Linked DNA regions of Rattus norvegicus. The protein of the gene in region 1 interacts with the protein of each later gene in a biochemical or structural test. Links are inferred from orthologs where the notes say so. Each region holds a gene or a part of one and is shown in the gene's direction. Other genes may lie near its edges.

Region 1 (4,989 bases):
GAAGGTAGAGAACTGAAACTAGGGGACTAGACAGGCAGTGAAACACTGAGGAAGCACCGGGTGGAGGGTCACAGATGGTATTTAACCATCTCTCCCTAATACCATCTCCCTTTCCCTCAGGTTTCTCTTGAGGTTTGACTAATGTTGTCTTCCTGACTGACTGAAGACAAGAAAGTCCTTCTTTGTTTAAAGTCTTTATTTCTAATTTCACAAAAGCAGGAAATACTAAGAGAGTAAATTGGGGAAATGGTCAACATTCCTAAATTCTTAGAGGCTTGTCTTTGTTCTGTTGTCACTGATCTCCTAGGAAGCAGTGACTAAAACCTAAGGGGGCACTGTTTTCTTCCTGCTTTTGTTGTTTGATATTACCTTCTTCCCCTAGATCTACAGCAATTCTTTTGTCTGACAGCTGAGAATAAAAACTAGTTAAGAGCCAATGTATATTCAGGTACTTGAGTTAGACCCTAGGACAGGCACAGAGAACTCTCCTTTTGGAACCAATTTCCCATTGTTATTACCAACCTTCAAACTGTAGCCATAATCCTTGCTTTTGCTGGGGTGCTGGGAATGCTAAATTTGTCCTTCTACATACAAGAAGGTAATACATCAACTGCCAAGGCTAAAGGCACTAGACAGGCAGTAGATGACAGAATAAAGGATGGTACCAATAAAGAAAAGTTCTTGCCAAGTAAATTAACCAGAATACAAAAACGGGTTTATTGGCTCCAAGAAAAGGAGCAAGAGCACCCAGCTTTCAAGCTCAGTCTCTCTGTACATATTTAGACAAGCCCAAGGTCCATAGAGGAGCCTATCCAAGCACCTTCTCTCCTGCGGTCAGGGACAGCTAGCTAGCTGCCTGATGGCGAGTCTCTGGGCTGTTCTGCAGGAACACCTGGCACGGCAGAGGCAGCCTCGTAGTCCGCCATGCGGCGCTGGACCAGGGCGGGCATGAGGTGCACGTAAGCGGCCATGAGGCGGTGGTTAGAATGGATGAGCTTCCCAGCACAGCTGTGCAGGCAGGCCTCCTGGAAGGAAGACAGATGGAAGTAGAAACTAAAAGGGGTCCTGTCAAGCCCTCCTCCATCCTTCCCGGTCCCCAGCCTAGGAATGAGGTCATGAAAGAGAGGGGAAGTGGGGGGAGGGGGTAAGTCACATCACGTTATTGTCAACTCTGGGACCCCCCACAGTCTCCACCTCCTCAGCGTCCAGAGCTCGGTGGTGCAGGCTGGGCACACAGCGCTGGAAGCACAGTTCTGTCATCCGATTGTAGACCAACAGAAAGTCTCGCAACTGAGAGAAAAAGGAACCAAGACTTCACCACCGCCGAGGCTTCCTGGGGCGCGCAGCCCGCCTCCCCCTCTGGGGGTTCTTGCGTGTACCCCTGGAAACAAACTGCGCGTCTAACCCAGAGAGCAACTTAGCTCTCACTCACGTTTCTCAGTTGCTGCTGCTGGTGCTCCATCACGCCCAGGGCGCATGGCGTACGCCACTTCCGTCCGGAGGGGGTGGCTCTCGGAGTCGCCCCGGAAGTAAACTCTCGGTACTCCCCCAAGAGCTTGAAGGCGTAGCTCCAGGCTCGCCCTGCCCACAACTGTAAACGTCACCTCCGCCCTTTTTCTCTGCGACGTGGCCGGCTTCTTCTGCCCAGAGAGCATGTCACTTCCGCCAAATCTCTGACCTGCTGCTAGGATCGCGACGGGAACTGGAACCCGAGGTCCCCGCGCGGTCCGGGCCTCGCGCCCTGAGGGGAAGAGCGGCCCGGCCCAGGTGAGAAGGACGTACTTGGACGAAGGGAAGTTGAACGCACGAACCTGTACTGAGGGCAACATGCCCTGAGCCCTTGGCAAGGATGAGGACACACCTGATGCCCAGGTGTATGGGGGTGGGGGGTGCCTCTCACATCTGGAAGGCTTCAACTGACTTTGGAAGGGATTGCCTGTGTCCTGGTGTCCTGACACCAGGAACATTCACTAACTGCTTCAACTAAGGCCTGGTGGGGAGGGCCTGAGGGAGTCAGGTGCATGAGATGGAGAAAGGAAGAGACCAGACCATCTGAAGGAAGAGGGGAAGGAACACCAAAGGATGTGAAAGATCAGGATCGCAGAGCATGCCTGAGTGGCAAGTGAACGTCTGAGCCTAGGAAAGAGTTTTGGTAAACATGCTTATGCAGGGTTAAGTTCCCAGAGAGCATAGACCTTCCCTCTGGTCCTCACTGCTGCAATTCCATTGCCTCGGTATCTCACACATAGTAGAAACTCACCAAATGTTTGTTGAATGACTGAATGCATGAATGGTTACTAAAGGCGAGGTTGGGGGTTACGAGAAGACACCAGAGGCTTTGGTATGCATGCATTTGTAGAAATAATGTACTCAGAAGAGAATGGATACACATACTCAAGGAAAGACGTGGTGGCTGATCCCAGGACACCCAAGCCCTAAGACAATCCCTGAAACCTCTGAGAACACAGGGGAGGCCTCCTTATTCTGGAGTGCTGGCTAGTTTCCAGAATTGTCTTGTTGGGCTTTACAGCGTGCTGGGGTGGAGACCTTGACTCCTGTCCCTTCCCTAGCCATGACGGACGGGATTCTAGGGAAGGCAGCCACAATGGAGATTCCCATCCACGGAAATGGCGAGGCTGGGCAGCTTCCTGAAGACGATGGGCTGGAGCAGGTGCTTCTGTTTGATTCTTCTAATTGTCTCATTATGCAGTCCTGACTTATAAACCTTTTACTTTCCCCCATCCCAATAGCCTTCAGTTAACTAAACTCCTTCCTAGTTTTCAAATCTTTATGGTTCTGTATAAACTTTATGTGCACTGCCTCCATCCCCAAATGTTTCATCTATCCCTGTGTTCCTGAGGTGCCCCCTCTTCTCTGACCTATAGGACCTCCAGCAGGTGATGGTGTCAGGACCCAACCTCAATGAAACTAGCATTGTGTCTGGTGGCTATGGGGGCTCTGGTGACGGACTCATCCCCACAGGTATGAGTGATAGAGACAGGCTTGAGGGGTGGGGATGGGGGCTGTTAAGGCAGCTTGCCGGCACATAGGACACATACAGTAAAGCTTGACTCGTGACTGAAGAGCTTCAGAACTGCTAGTGTGAAGTTCATAGCCTGTTCAGTCCCAGACCAGCTCCAGAGTTGCCCATCTGCTTCCCCCCTGCCACTTAGTCTCTAAGATAATCTCATTTGTCTTTTCCTCCCTGCCGCCACCACCTGAGCCAAGTTAAGACCTTGAGGTTATGAGCACTCAGGAGCTTAAGGCCAAGTTGGAGCTTTGTGAGGCTTCTCAGACTTTCATTTTAGACTGTTACACTGACTAGAATTCTACCTAGAAATATCAGCCAACTTCCTTGTTTTCTGTGCCCACCATCTTTGATCCTGCCAATCACACATATCACGATAGCTTCTATTCTTTCTTCTTGAGTACACTAACAACACTCTTACCCTATCCCAAGAATGCCAGATACATGCATTGAGTTGGTTTGGTGGTCAGGACACAAGTCCTTGTTCCCCCTAGTAAGCAGAAGAATGCAGTTGTCTGTCTAGATTTTCCTTCTTCAGCAAGGTCATTTCATGTGCTGGAAGGGAAGTGGGCCACAGAAGTGTCTGGTTATATCTAAGAGAAACTAGTGTCAGAGAACTTGGTCCTTTAGGGTCTGGCCGCCATCCGTCTCACAGCACCTCACCTTCTGGCCCTGGTGATGAGGTGGCCCGAGGCATCGCTGGAGAAAAGTTTGACATTGTCAAGAAATGGGGCATCAACACATATAAGGTAAGATTCAAGCACCTCTTCTCAGAAACTCTCCATGGGGCCCTTTTCCCTTTCCCTGGGTCTTAATCTACAGTCTTTGCTATGACTAAGAGAATGGGGGTGCTGGAGTAGTTCCTTGTGGGGTGGAGTTTAGATTTCTGACCTCCATCCCCCCACCCCCATTCCAATCAGTGCACAAAGCAGCTGTTATCAGAGAGATTTGGCCGAGGCTCCCGGACTGTGGATCTGGAGCTAGAGCTGCAGATTGAGTTGCTGCGTGAGACGAAGCGCAAGTATGAAAGTGTCCTGCAGCTGGGCCGGGCACTGACAGCCCACCTCTACAGCCTGTTGCAGACCCAGCATGCACTAGGTGATGCCTTTGCTGACCTCAGCCAGAAGTCCCCAGAGCTTCAGGTGCCTCAGCCAAAACAGAGAGGGTGGGGGTACTGGGCCCTGGTCCTTCCAGGCAGGCATCCCTCAGCCTCCCTCCCTCCCTCCCTCCTGCAGCCCCCAGGGAGAACCCCTCTGGGGTACGCCCAGTCCTGCCCCCAGCATCACTCACCTATGGAGGCAGCCTAAGGGTTTGTACTGAGGTCCAAAAGTTGGAGGGGTTGTGGGAGAGGGCGCACCACAAGTAACCTGTCTCCATGTCATCCAGAATGCCTTTGGTGCTTGGCCTAATCAGACCCCCTCCCTGCCTGCTGCACTAGCTTTCTCTGTTCCTGTCTTGTAAACTCACCTAAGACCTCCCACCCCCACACTCTTACCTCAGGCATCGCCAAGGCGACCCTACTAACTTTGTGGCTAAGAGAGCCTTGCTAGAGGCAGTCTGGTTGTTGTAGTTTTGATGGCTGATTCTTCTTTGGGATGGAGGGAAATGAAGGGCTCTACAGCTCCAGCCAGGTAAGGACTGTTGCTCAATGCCTACGCCTCCCTTCTGCCCTTAGGAGGAATTTGGCTATAATGCAGAGACACAAAAGCTGCTGTGCAAGAATGGGGAGACGCTGCTGGGGGCTGTCAACTTCTTTGTCTCTAGCATCAACACGCTGGTCACCAAGACCATGGAAGACACACTCATGACTGTCAAACAGTATGAGGCTGCCAGGTGTGGGCCCAAGGTTTGGGAAGTTGGCTGGCATGGGTCAAAAAGCAAACAGTAGGGGCAGACAGATTCAGAGAGGAAAGGAATTATGTGTGTGGATGAAGAGGTGGATTCCAGCCTTTATCACCCCC
Region 2 (4,657 bases), on another chromosome or scaffold:
ATAAGGTCCATCTTGCATACCAGCATATGCTGGGGTGGGGGCTGTCTCACAAGAGTTTTTGCTATTTAGTCTTTGCAAAATTCTGTTCAGAGGGTATCATTAGCACCAATTTACATTTACTGGAACATACAGTAAATGTACAGAGGGGTAACATGCCCAATGTCACTCAGCTAGTAAGTTTAGGAATCCTATCTCAGTCTGCCTCTCACCATACTAAATGCTATGCCTGATGGCACCATTGAAGAAACATGGCCTTGGTCCCGAGAAACTCCTAACAGCAAGGACATGCAAACAAGTAGATGCTGCCCTCACACTAGTATAGTATGTAAGGGTATAGTTGAAGGGTATAAAAGAGGCGAGGCACCTGTCAGAAGGACAGAGACTCTTAGGGGAAATGACTTGAAGTTTGAGGAATGAGTAAAGACTGCCAAACTGCAAATGTGGGAAACCAGCATCAAGAAAAGCGGAAACGTTTACAGGAACCTCTGAGGTATCTATCAGTGAGCCTGACTTGCCCAGGAAGCTTATGGTGTGGGAGGTGGGTGGCTATTGATGAATCTGGAACAAAGGGTAGGACCCAACTTAAAGGCATTTAGATTTCATCTTGGGTGACAAGACATTAAAAGATTTTCATCTCCGGAGGGCACCATCAAGACTCTTTGCTTTTGTCCATTCCATCAAGACTCCTGTGGGGTTTTTAAGATGGTTCAGCAGTAAAGACGATTTTCACCAGGCCCAGTGACCTGACCTAAGTTCTATCACCAGGACCCACACGGTGGAAGGAGAGAACACACCCCTACAAGTTGTTCTCTGAGCTCTACACACCTCCACACACGAACACAACATAAAAGTGGGGAGGGGCTAAAAACAAAGAAGACTCCTGTGATATTATGAAGATACCAAGCCTGTGAGGAGGCTCACTCTGAAAGAGAGAGAGAGAGAGAGAGAGAGAGAGAGAGAGAGAGAACGCGTTTGAAGAAAATATTTCTGTAATAAAAATCTGCTCAGGAGGCCAAGCCGGCCGCATCTCTGTGAGTTCGTGACCAGGTTGGTCTACATAGCAAGTTCCAGACCACCCAAGGCTACATAGTGTTTCAAAACAATAGACAATATGCTACTTTGAGGATCTTTTACATGTTCGTGTGGACCCTATCAAAGCCGTCTTACGAGTGCAAGTCTATGACTTAAGAGTAAAGCAAAGTCATGCGGAGACTAGCGACCCCGAACAAGCCCTCCGCCCCAGGCAGGCTGCCAGGCCTCGCTCGACTTCAGTTCTTCCGCAAACGCGCCTAGGGGCGGGGCTGGGGCGGACCCGGAGGGGCGGGGCCACGTGACGTCGGGCGGACCCGGACGCGCGGAGGTGGCGGCGGCGGCGGCGCCTCCTCCTTCTGCTGTTGCGCCCCATCCCCCCGCGGCCGGCCGGTTCCAGCCCTCGCCCCGCGTCCCCTGCCCGCGCCCCCGCCCCGGGCCCCGCCATGGGCCTCACGGTGTCCGCGCTCTTTTCGCGGATCTTCGGGAAGAAGCAGATGCGGATCCTTATGGGTGAGGCAGATCGAGCGCGCGGCCCGCTTGGGGCGCCGGCCCCGCCGCAGCCCTCCCGCCCCCGCGTCCCTCCAGCCCGCTCACCTGGTCCCCTGACCCCGAGACACCCCACCGCCCAAGCCTCTGAGGCCGCGCTCCCGAGCAAGCCAGGATCTGCAGTGTCGGCCCCGGGCCTGAAACCCGGAGCTGGGGCCTGGGTGGGGTGACGCTTCCTCCGCCCCAGCCCGGCTGCTAAGAAGAGAGGATTCCGCCCTTGGAAACGACTTTTCAAAGGAACGCGGCCTTCCTCCCGGGTCCCCTACCTCCCTAGCCCCTGTCGCCCCTCGGGCACTTGAGGGGCAGGAGTTGGCACTCGCCACCTAGACTGCCCTCAAGGCCCGGAAGGTGGAGAACAGCGCGCACCTGGAGGCGCTCCCGCTCTCCGCCCCCATCACCATCAGCTGGCCAGGCCTCTCCCTTTCCCTGGTCTCTAGGGGGCTCTCTCGCTCCCGTCTCCATTCTTTGCCCCTCTCTCCGTTGCAGTTGGCTTGGATGCGGCTGGCAAGACTACCATCCTGTACAAACTGAAGTTGGGGGAGATTGTCACCACCATCCCCACCATAGGTGAGTCCGGGAACAAGGCAGGGGGCCGCAGGAATGTCGCTTTGGGCCTTGTCGGGGTCTGCTCCCACTTCTGCCGAGGCCCTTATCTGTTCCTGACCCTGACACCAGATACAGCTACTTGAGAAATGGGTCACCATATCTCTAAGCGCCTGATGGTGCCTGAGGCGTGGACCATGAGCCTAGCATATCTGTTGACCTCCGATCCTCTGGATTCAATTCCCCTTGGCCTTGGTGGTCATTGTCATCTGGGTTTATGTGCTTTGAAGAGATCCGAGTGGTTTTAATGAGTTCCTTTCAGGACCTTTTTTTTTTTTTTTTCCTTCTCTCCCCTCCAAAAAAAAAAAAAAAAAAAAAAAAAATTCTGCAGGCTTCAATGTGGAAACAGTGGAATATAAGAACATCTGTTTCACAGTCTGGGATGTCGGAGGCCAGGATAAGATTCGGCCTTTGTGGCGGCACTACTTCCAGAACACTCAGGTGGAGTTGGGTTGGAAGGTGGCGGGGGGAGGCAGTCCCTGGGAGTGGGTGTTAGACCAGGACTGAGTTGCTGGCTGCTCCCTTGACTGTCATCACTCTCACCTTTGCTAAGCTTAAGAACTCACCCCCATCTTAGTCTGGGAAGCAGAAGTTCTAAGGCCACGCCGTCTACCGTAGATCTCAACTACACATCTTTTAGCTGGCTCCCTCAGTGGTCCCTGCAAACCCTTACTGTACATTTGCCAGATGAGAAGGGCTGATACAACTCAAGAAGGAAGAAGTGAGACCAGGCCAGGTAAGGATGGGACCTAGGTAGGAGTGATCCCTTCTGCTTCCTTCCTTCCCACCCAGGGCCTCATCTTTGTGGTGGACAGCAATGACCGGGAGCGGGTCCAGGAGTCTGCTGATGAACTCCAGAAGATGGTAAATACCCAGCTCTGGGAACTGGGCCCTTGGCTTTCAGACAGGGAGGCCTCTGGGGTAGTCTGGAAGTCCAGGACACTAAGGGCAGGAAGTTTTCCTTCGTGGTACCAGATAAGTATTAGCTCATCCAGTAGACAAGACCCTTTTTTTTTCTTTTTAAATCCTTTCCCATCTGAGCCTAAGGGGTTGGGAGAAAGAGAGAGAGGTTATCTATGCTACAGAGAAACAACATCATACATTACTTGTTTTGTTTGTTGTTTTCTGTTGTCATTTTTGTCATTTTTTTGTTTAGAACAAGCTCTTAAAATAGGATTGTTTTTTTTTCCTTGAGGTAAAGTTGAAAGGTGTTGAGCTCGTTTATAACTGTCTTGTGTTCAGTGGTGAACTACACAGTACACTGTATTTTTCCTACAAAGAATCTGGAAGTTTGAAAGGGGTGCTCTCCCCAACAGTGCAGTCAGCAGGGAGCCTAGGGAGCCTTGCAAGCACAGGTCCCCATCTCCCCCTCCTCCCCTCAGCTGCAGGAGGATGAGCTTCGGGATGCGGTGCTGTTGGTGTTTGCCAACAAGCAGGACATGCCCAATGCCATGCCTGTGAGCGAACTGACTGACAAGCTGGGGCTTCAACACTTGCGTAGCCGCACGGTAAGGATCATGTCCCTTTGGCACTGGGCTCCAGGCTTTCCTGGGGAGCCCGACTGGACAGGGGAATCCCTTTCCTTCCCTGAGGCTGATTTCCTTCTCTTTCTTCCTACAGTGGTACGTCCAGGCCACCTGTGCCACCCAAGGCACAGGCCTGTATGATGGTCTGGACTGGCTGTCCCATGAGCTATCAAAGCGCTAGCCAGCCAGGGGCAGGCCCCTGCTGCCCGGAAGCTCCCGCGTGCATCCCGGGATGGCCAGACTCCCGGACTCCTCAGGCAGTGCCCTTCCTTCCCACTTTTCCTCCCCACAGACAGGCCTCTGCTCCTGTGCCTGCCTGCATGCTCTCTCTTGTTGTTGGAGCCTGGAGCCTTGCTCTCTGGGCACAGAGGGTTCTGCTCTCCTGCCTGCTGGGACCTGTGGAAGGGCTTCCTGGCCAAGGCCCCCTCTTCCAGGGGAGGAGCAGGGATCTGGATTTAATTTCGTTTTGGTTTTGGTTTTTTTGGTTTTTTTCTGTTTTGGGTGTACCCTTGGGGCCAGGTTTGGGGGGAGGAAAGTGAGGGCTCCGGGTGGTGCTATGATGTGGGACTGGATATTGAGTAATAAATTTGCTGTGGTTTGTACCCGGTGTTGTCTATCGCCTGGAAGTTGGGAAGCTGAGTTACTGTGGGCACAGAAAGATAATATGGGAGAGACTGAGAGCAGCTGAAGCCCAGAAGGCAATATGCACTGCCCTTTCTTCCTCAGCTTCCCCTGTAGTGCTTCTAGCTGGGGAAAAAATTCCATTTCTTCCTCAATTCCAGGATGGTTGATTAAGGGTATGAATACCTTTCTCATTCCAAAAACCACAGTCTGTTCCCTATCTCTTACCTAGCTACTACTTACATATCATACTTAATGTTTGTACTTATCATAGCTTTGTACATGGAGGAGAAATGGACATTAAAAAGATAGGTCCCCCAAGACACACA
Region 3 (3,603 bases), on another chromosome or scaffold:
GCTGTCGTAGTAACTTCCTTGAACTTTTCAGTTTTTTTCCTTCGTGTTTATTTTTGCCCTTATTTACATTTAAAATTTCACTTTACTTTAACCTTACTTAACACTAGTCACTTAATACAAAAATGTTTTCTCAGCCAGCAAGAAGGTAGTACGTAAAAGTGCTGGCCGCCAAGCTTGATGACTTGAGTTTGATACCTTAGACCCATATGAGGAACTGGCTCTGGCAAGTTGTCTTCTGACCTCTCTGTGCACACGCACACTAAATGAAAAAAGTATTTGAAAATAAAAACAAAACTCAAATAGTTTCCTTATGGTGCGTGGAGATCTGAAGTCAATTTGAGGGAGTTGGTTCTCTCCTTCCACCATACGGGTTCTGGGGACTGAACACGGGTCCGCCCTCTCGGCGGCAGGCTTCACGCACACAGCCATCTCGTCGGTCCTGAAAGTCTATTTCCTAAGAAGTGCGGGTGGTTCAGACTTACAAAGAGGACAAGTTTAAACTTTCACAGGCAGGGCTTAGGGGCAAACCCAACACGAGTAAAAGTGCGGGCGACTTTGGCGGATTCTATGGAACACTGGCCTCCCACGTGTCTTTCAGGAAACAGAAGGAAGTCGGGAGGCGTCGGAGTAAAAAGGAGACCCGGGTGCGGAAGGCTGGGGCGAGCGGGAGGAACTTTGCGCAGGGTGTCCGGGAGCAAACCTGGGAAGCCTGGGTGGGGGCGTTGAACACCCAGTGGATTTTTGCCCCGCCTTCCAGTGGCGGAGAAGGGAAAACAGCGGAGACCCTGGGAGAGCGACAGGTGGGCGTACGGCCAGCCCCGCTCCAGCAGGTTCCGCAAGGCGTCCGCGTGAGCCCCCCGAGCCGCCGTAGCCCCACCCCCGGCGCGTGGCGCTCGTGACGCTAGGCGCGCGGGCCACTCTCCTTTCAGAGGTCGCGCTCTTCCGAACGGTCGGGCTGAGGTGCGCGTGCGCAGTCGGGAGGGGAAGTGAGGCGGTTTCCTCGGCGCCTTTTCCGGCAGCGGCGGCAGCAGAACTGGGGAGGAGGAGGTGGAGGCCGGAGGGAACCCGCGCTTGGGGCGGCGGCTGGAGGTAATCTCAAGGGCCGAGCCCGAAAGGCGGGCCGGGTCGGTCTCAGCACCGTCGGAGTCCCGGCGGTAACTCCCTTCTCCCTCTCTGTGTCTCTGCAGGTAGCACCGAGTTCCCGCGAGGATCCATGACCTGACGGGGCGCAGAGCCGCGCTCTTCGTCGGGTGACCAGGGTTGGTGCGGAGCCCGGTGCTCGCAGGCCGGCGGGAGGGCCGCAGTTTGACCTGCCGCGTGCTGAGGCGGCGGAGGAGCTGTCGGCGGCGCTCGCGCGGCGCCTGCGGGGGGAAGGGCAGTTCCGGGCCGGCCGCGCCTCGCCTCAGCAGGGCGGCGGCTCTCCCGGCGCAGACGCAGGGCCCCGGCGGCGGGCGATGCCCGAGTGAGCGCAGGCCGGGCCCCTGCCCCTAGCAGGCAGCTTCGCGCAAGCCGGGCCGCAGGGCGTCCTCGCGGCGGGGCGGCTACTTTTCGGGCTCGCAGCGGCGGCGGCGTTGTAGGCTGAGGGGACCCGGGACACCTGAATGCCCCCGGCCCCGGCTCTTCCGACGCGATGGGGAAGGTGCTATCCAAGATCTTCGGGAACAAGGAAATGCGGATCCTCATGCTGGGCCTGGACGCAGCCGGCAAGACAACGATCCTGTACAAGTTGAAGCTGGGCCAGTCTGTGACCACCATTCCCACGGTGGGTTTCAACGTGGAGACGGTGACTTACAAAAACGTCAAGTTCAACGTGTGGGATGTGGGCGGCCAGGACAAGATCCGGCCGCTCTGGCGGCATTACTACACCGGGACCCAGGGTCTGATCTTCGTGGTAGACTGCGCCGACCGCGACCGCATCGATGAGGCCCGCCAGGAGCTGCACCGCATTATCAATGACCGGGAGATGAGGGACGCCATAATCCTCATCTTCGCCAACAAGCAGGACCTGCCTGATGCCATGAAACCCCATGAGATCCAGGAGAAACTGGGCCTGACCCGGATTCGGGACAGGAACTGGTATGTGCAGCCCTCCTGTGCCACCTCCGGGGACGGACTCTATGAGGGGCTCACATGGTTAACCTCTAACTACAAATCCTAATGAGCGCCCTCCACCCAGCCCCCGGAAGGAGAGAAATCAAAAACCCATTCATAGGATTATCGCCACCATCATCACCTCTTTCAATTGCCACTCTCTTTTTTGAAACTGAACTCGAGTTACTGTTCTACCGTTTAGTGGGGTTGGGGGTTTTCTTTGTTCCCCTTACCCCCCCTCTTCTATTTCCTTTCGGCTTTGCGTTAGGATGCTCTGATCTGACATTTGACACGAATACAGTGCTATATGCTCTTGTGACTTCCAGCAAACGGGGTGGGGTAATAGCAACTCTTGGTAAAGTCCTTTATAATAATGGTTTTGATTTTTTTTTTTTATTTCGAGAGAATCTCCCCCCATGTATGCCTTTTTCCTTTTTGCCCAGTTTCTTATCACTTGCTGTAGATGGCTTATTTTGCATTCATGCAGACTATGTTCCAAGTCTGTTTCATCTAGTAAACTGAAAATTATTGCTTAATCAAACTGCCGTTTGTCTTTTATATTTAAGGCCTTCCCTCCCTTCCTTGTTAGCTCTAACTTTAGCAGTTTCAAATGTGACCTTTTATAGCCAAGACCAGTATGGTGAACTTAGCCCATAGTGGCAAAATGAGTAATACCAGTGTAATGTTCAGTTGCACACCAGTGTGTCAGATAGGTAATGTAAGGAATCCCTTGAAGTCAGCCATTAACGTGCATGAGTAGGAGTAAGGCTCAAGTCCCCTTTGCCATAGCTAACTTTACCGACTAAAACAAGCAGAGCCTGTAAAGGGTACAGGTCCTTCTCCCTGCAAAGTTAGCAACTTTGCTGATTCCCTCTTATGGATAAAAATGCTCTTTCCAGAAAGTGGAGCAATAATGGTGTATGCCACACAGATGAAGTATTTGTAGATACTTTAAAGTGACTTTTGGGCAAAACTGGAACTGTCTTAAGACCAGTAGTTTTAAAATTACTAAACATTTACTTGGCTCACTAATAAAATATTTAAAAAGCCAAATTACATGCACCTTTAACCTAGCTGGAAAAAAAAACCCAACACATTCCTGTTTTCACATTACAGCAACTGATTAGACTGAAGATACGAGACTTTTTTAATAGATGAGTGATTTACATCTCCATTAAGACACTGGAAAAGATGTTTTATTTTAAAAAGGTATTTAGTTTTGCTTGATTGTAGGTTTATTCATGCAGATATCCTGTTGGTTCAGTAGTCTATCTCCTTTAAGGAAGGAAATATGCTGAATGAATGGTGTAGATGTGGACGACAAAGGGGAAGTAGGCAGAGAAAGAACCTACAGATGACAATGAATGTAAATTAACTTTTAAGGGTAAGCATTGTGCTGTCTGGTCATATCCAGGTCTTAAGCTGAGCTGGTTAGGACCAGTAACTAGATTGAGACCACTATAGTAACTTTTTGAACCAAATGTTAATGATTCCGAATTGTGAAGCAGCATC

The links. The genes of interacting proteins can lie anywhere in the genome.
Region 2: the proteins of Arfip2 (region 1) and Arf5 form a complex in vitro, tested with the Homo sapiens proteins (2 studies listed by BioGRID). The link is inferred for Rattus norvegicus from reciprocal best matches to the Homo sapiens genes ARFIP2 and ARF5.
Region 3: the proteins of Arfip2 (region 1) and Arf6 form a complex in vitro, tested with the Homo sapiens proteins (2 studies listed by BioGRID). The link is inferred for Rattus norvegicus from reciprocal best matches to the Homo sapiens genes ARFIP2 and ARF6.

Annotation. Positions count from the first base shown.
Region 1 is NC_086019.1:169,388,849-169,393,837, reverse strand, and holds the start of Arfip2 (arfaptin-2), read left to right. Parts: upstream 1-1,671; 5' UTR 1,672-1,767; intron 1,768-2,530; 5' UTR 2,531-2,572; coding exon 2,573-2,671; intron 2,672-2,885; coding exon 2,886-2,982; intron 2,983-3,658; coding exon 3,659-3,777; intron 3,778-3,948; coding exon 3,949-4,170; coding exon of another isoform or gene 4,171-4,335; exon of another isoform or gene 4,336-4,337; intron 4,338-4,703; coding exon 4,704-4,861; intron 4,862-4,989. Other genes in the region: Timm10b (mitochondrial import inner membrane translocase subunit Tim10 B), read right to left, coding at 849-1,025, 1,195-1,290, 1,433-1,462. UniProt on the Homo sapiens protein: Plays a role in constitutive metalloproteinase (MMP) secretion from the trans Golgi network. May have important functions during vesicle biogenesis at certain cargo subdomains, which could be predominantly utilized by secreted MMPs, such as MMP7 and MMP2.
Region 2 is NC_086022.1:58,002,590-58,007,246, forward strand, and holds Arf5 (ADP-ribosylation factor 5), read left to right. Parts: upstream 1-1,381; 5' UTR 1,382-1,475; coding exon 1,476-1,542; intron 1,543-2,064; coding exon 2,065-2,145; intron 2,146-2,512; coding exon 2,513-2,622; intron 2,623-2,973; coding exon 2,974-3,045; intron 3,046-3,563; coding exon 3,564-3,689; coding exon of another isoform or gene 3,690-3,801; coding exon 3,802-3,888; 3' UTR 3,889-4,308; downstream 4,309-4,657.
Region 3 is NC_086024.1:93,588,299-93,591,901, forward strand, and holds Arf6 (ADP-ribosylation factor 6), read left to right. Parts: upstream 1-1,478; 5' UTR 1,479-1,630; coding exon 1,631-2,158; 3' UTR 2,159-2,627; downstream 2,628-3,603. UniProt on the Homo sapiens protein: GTP-binding protein involved in protein trafficking that regulates endocytic recycling and cytoskeleton remodeling. GTP-bound form plays an important role in the transport of multiple palmitoylated proteins form the Golgi to the plasma membrane.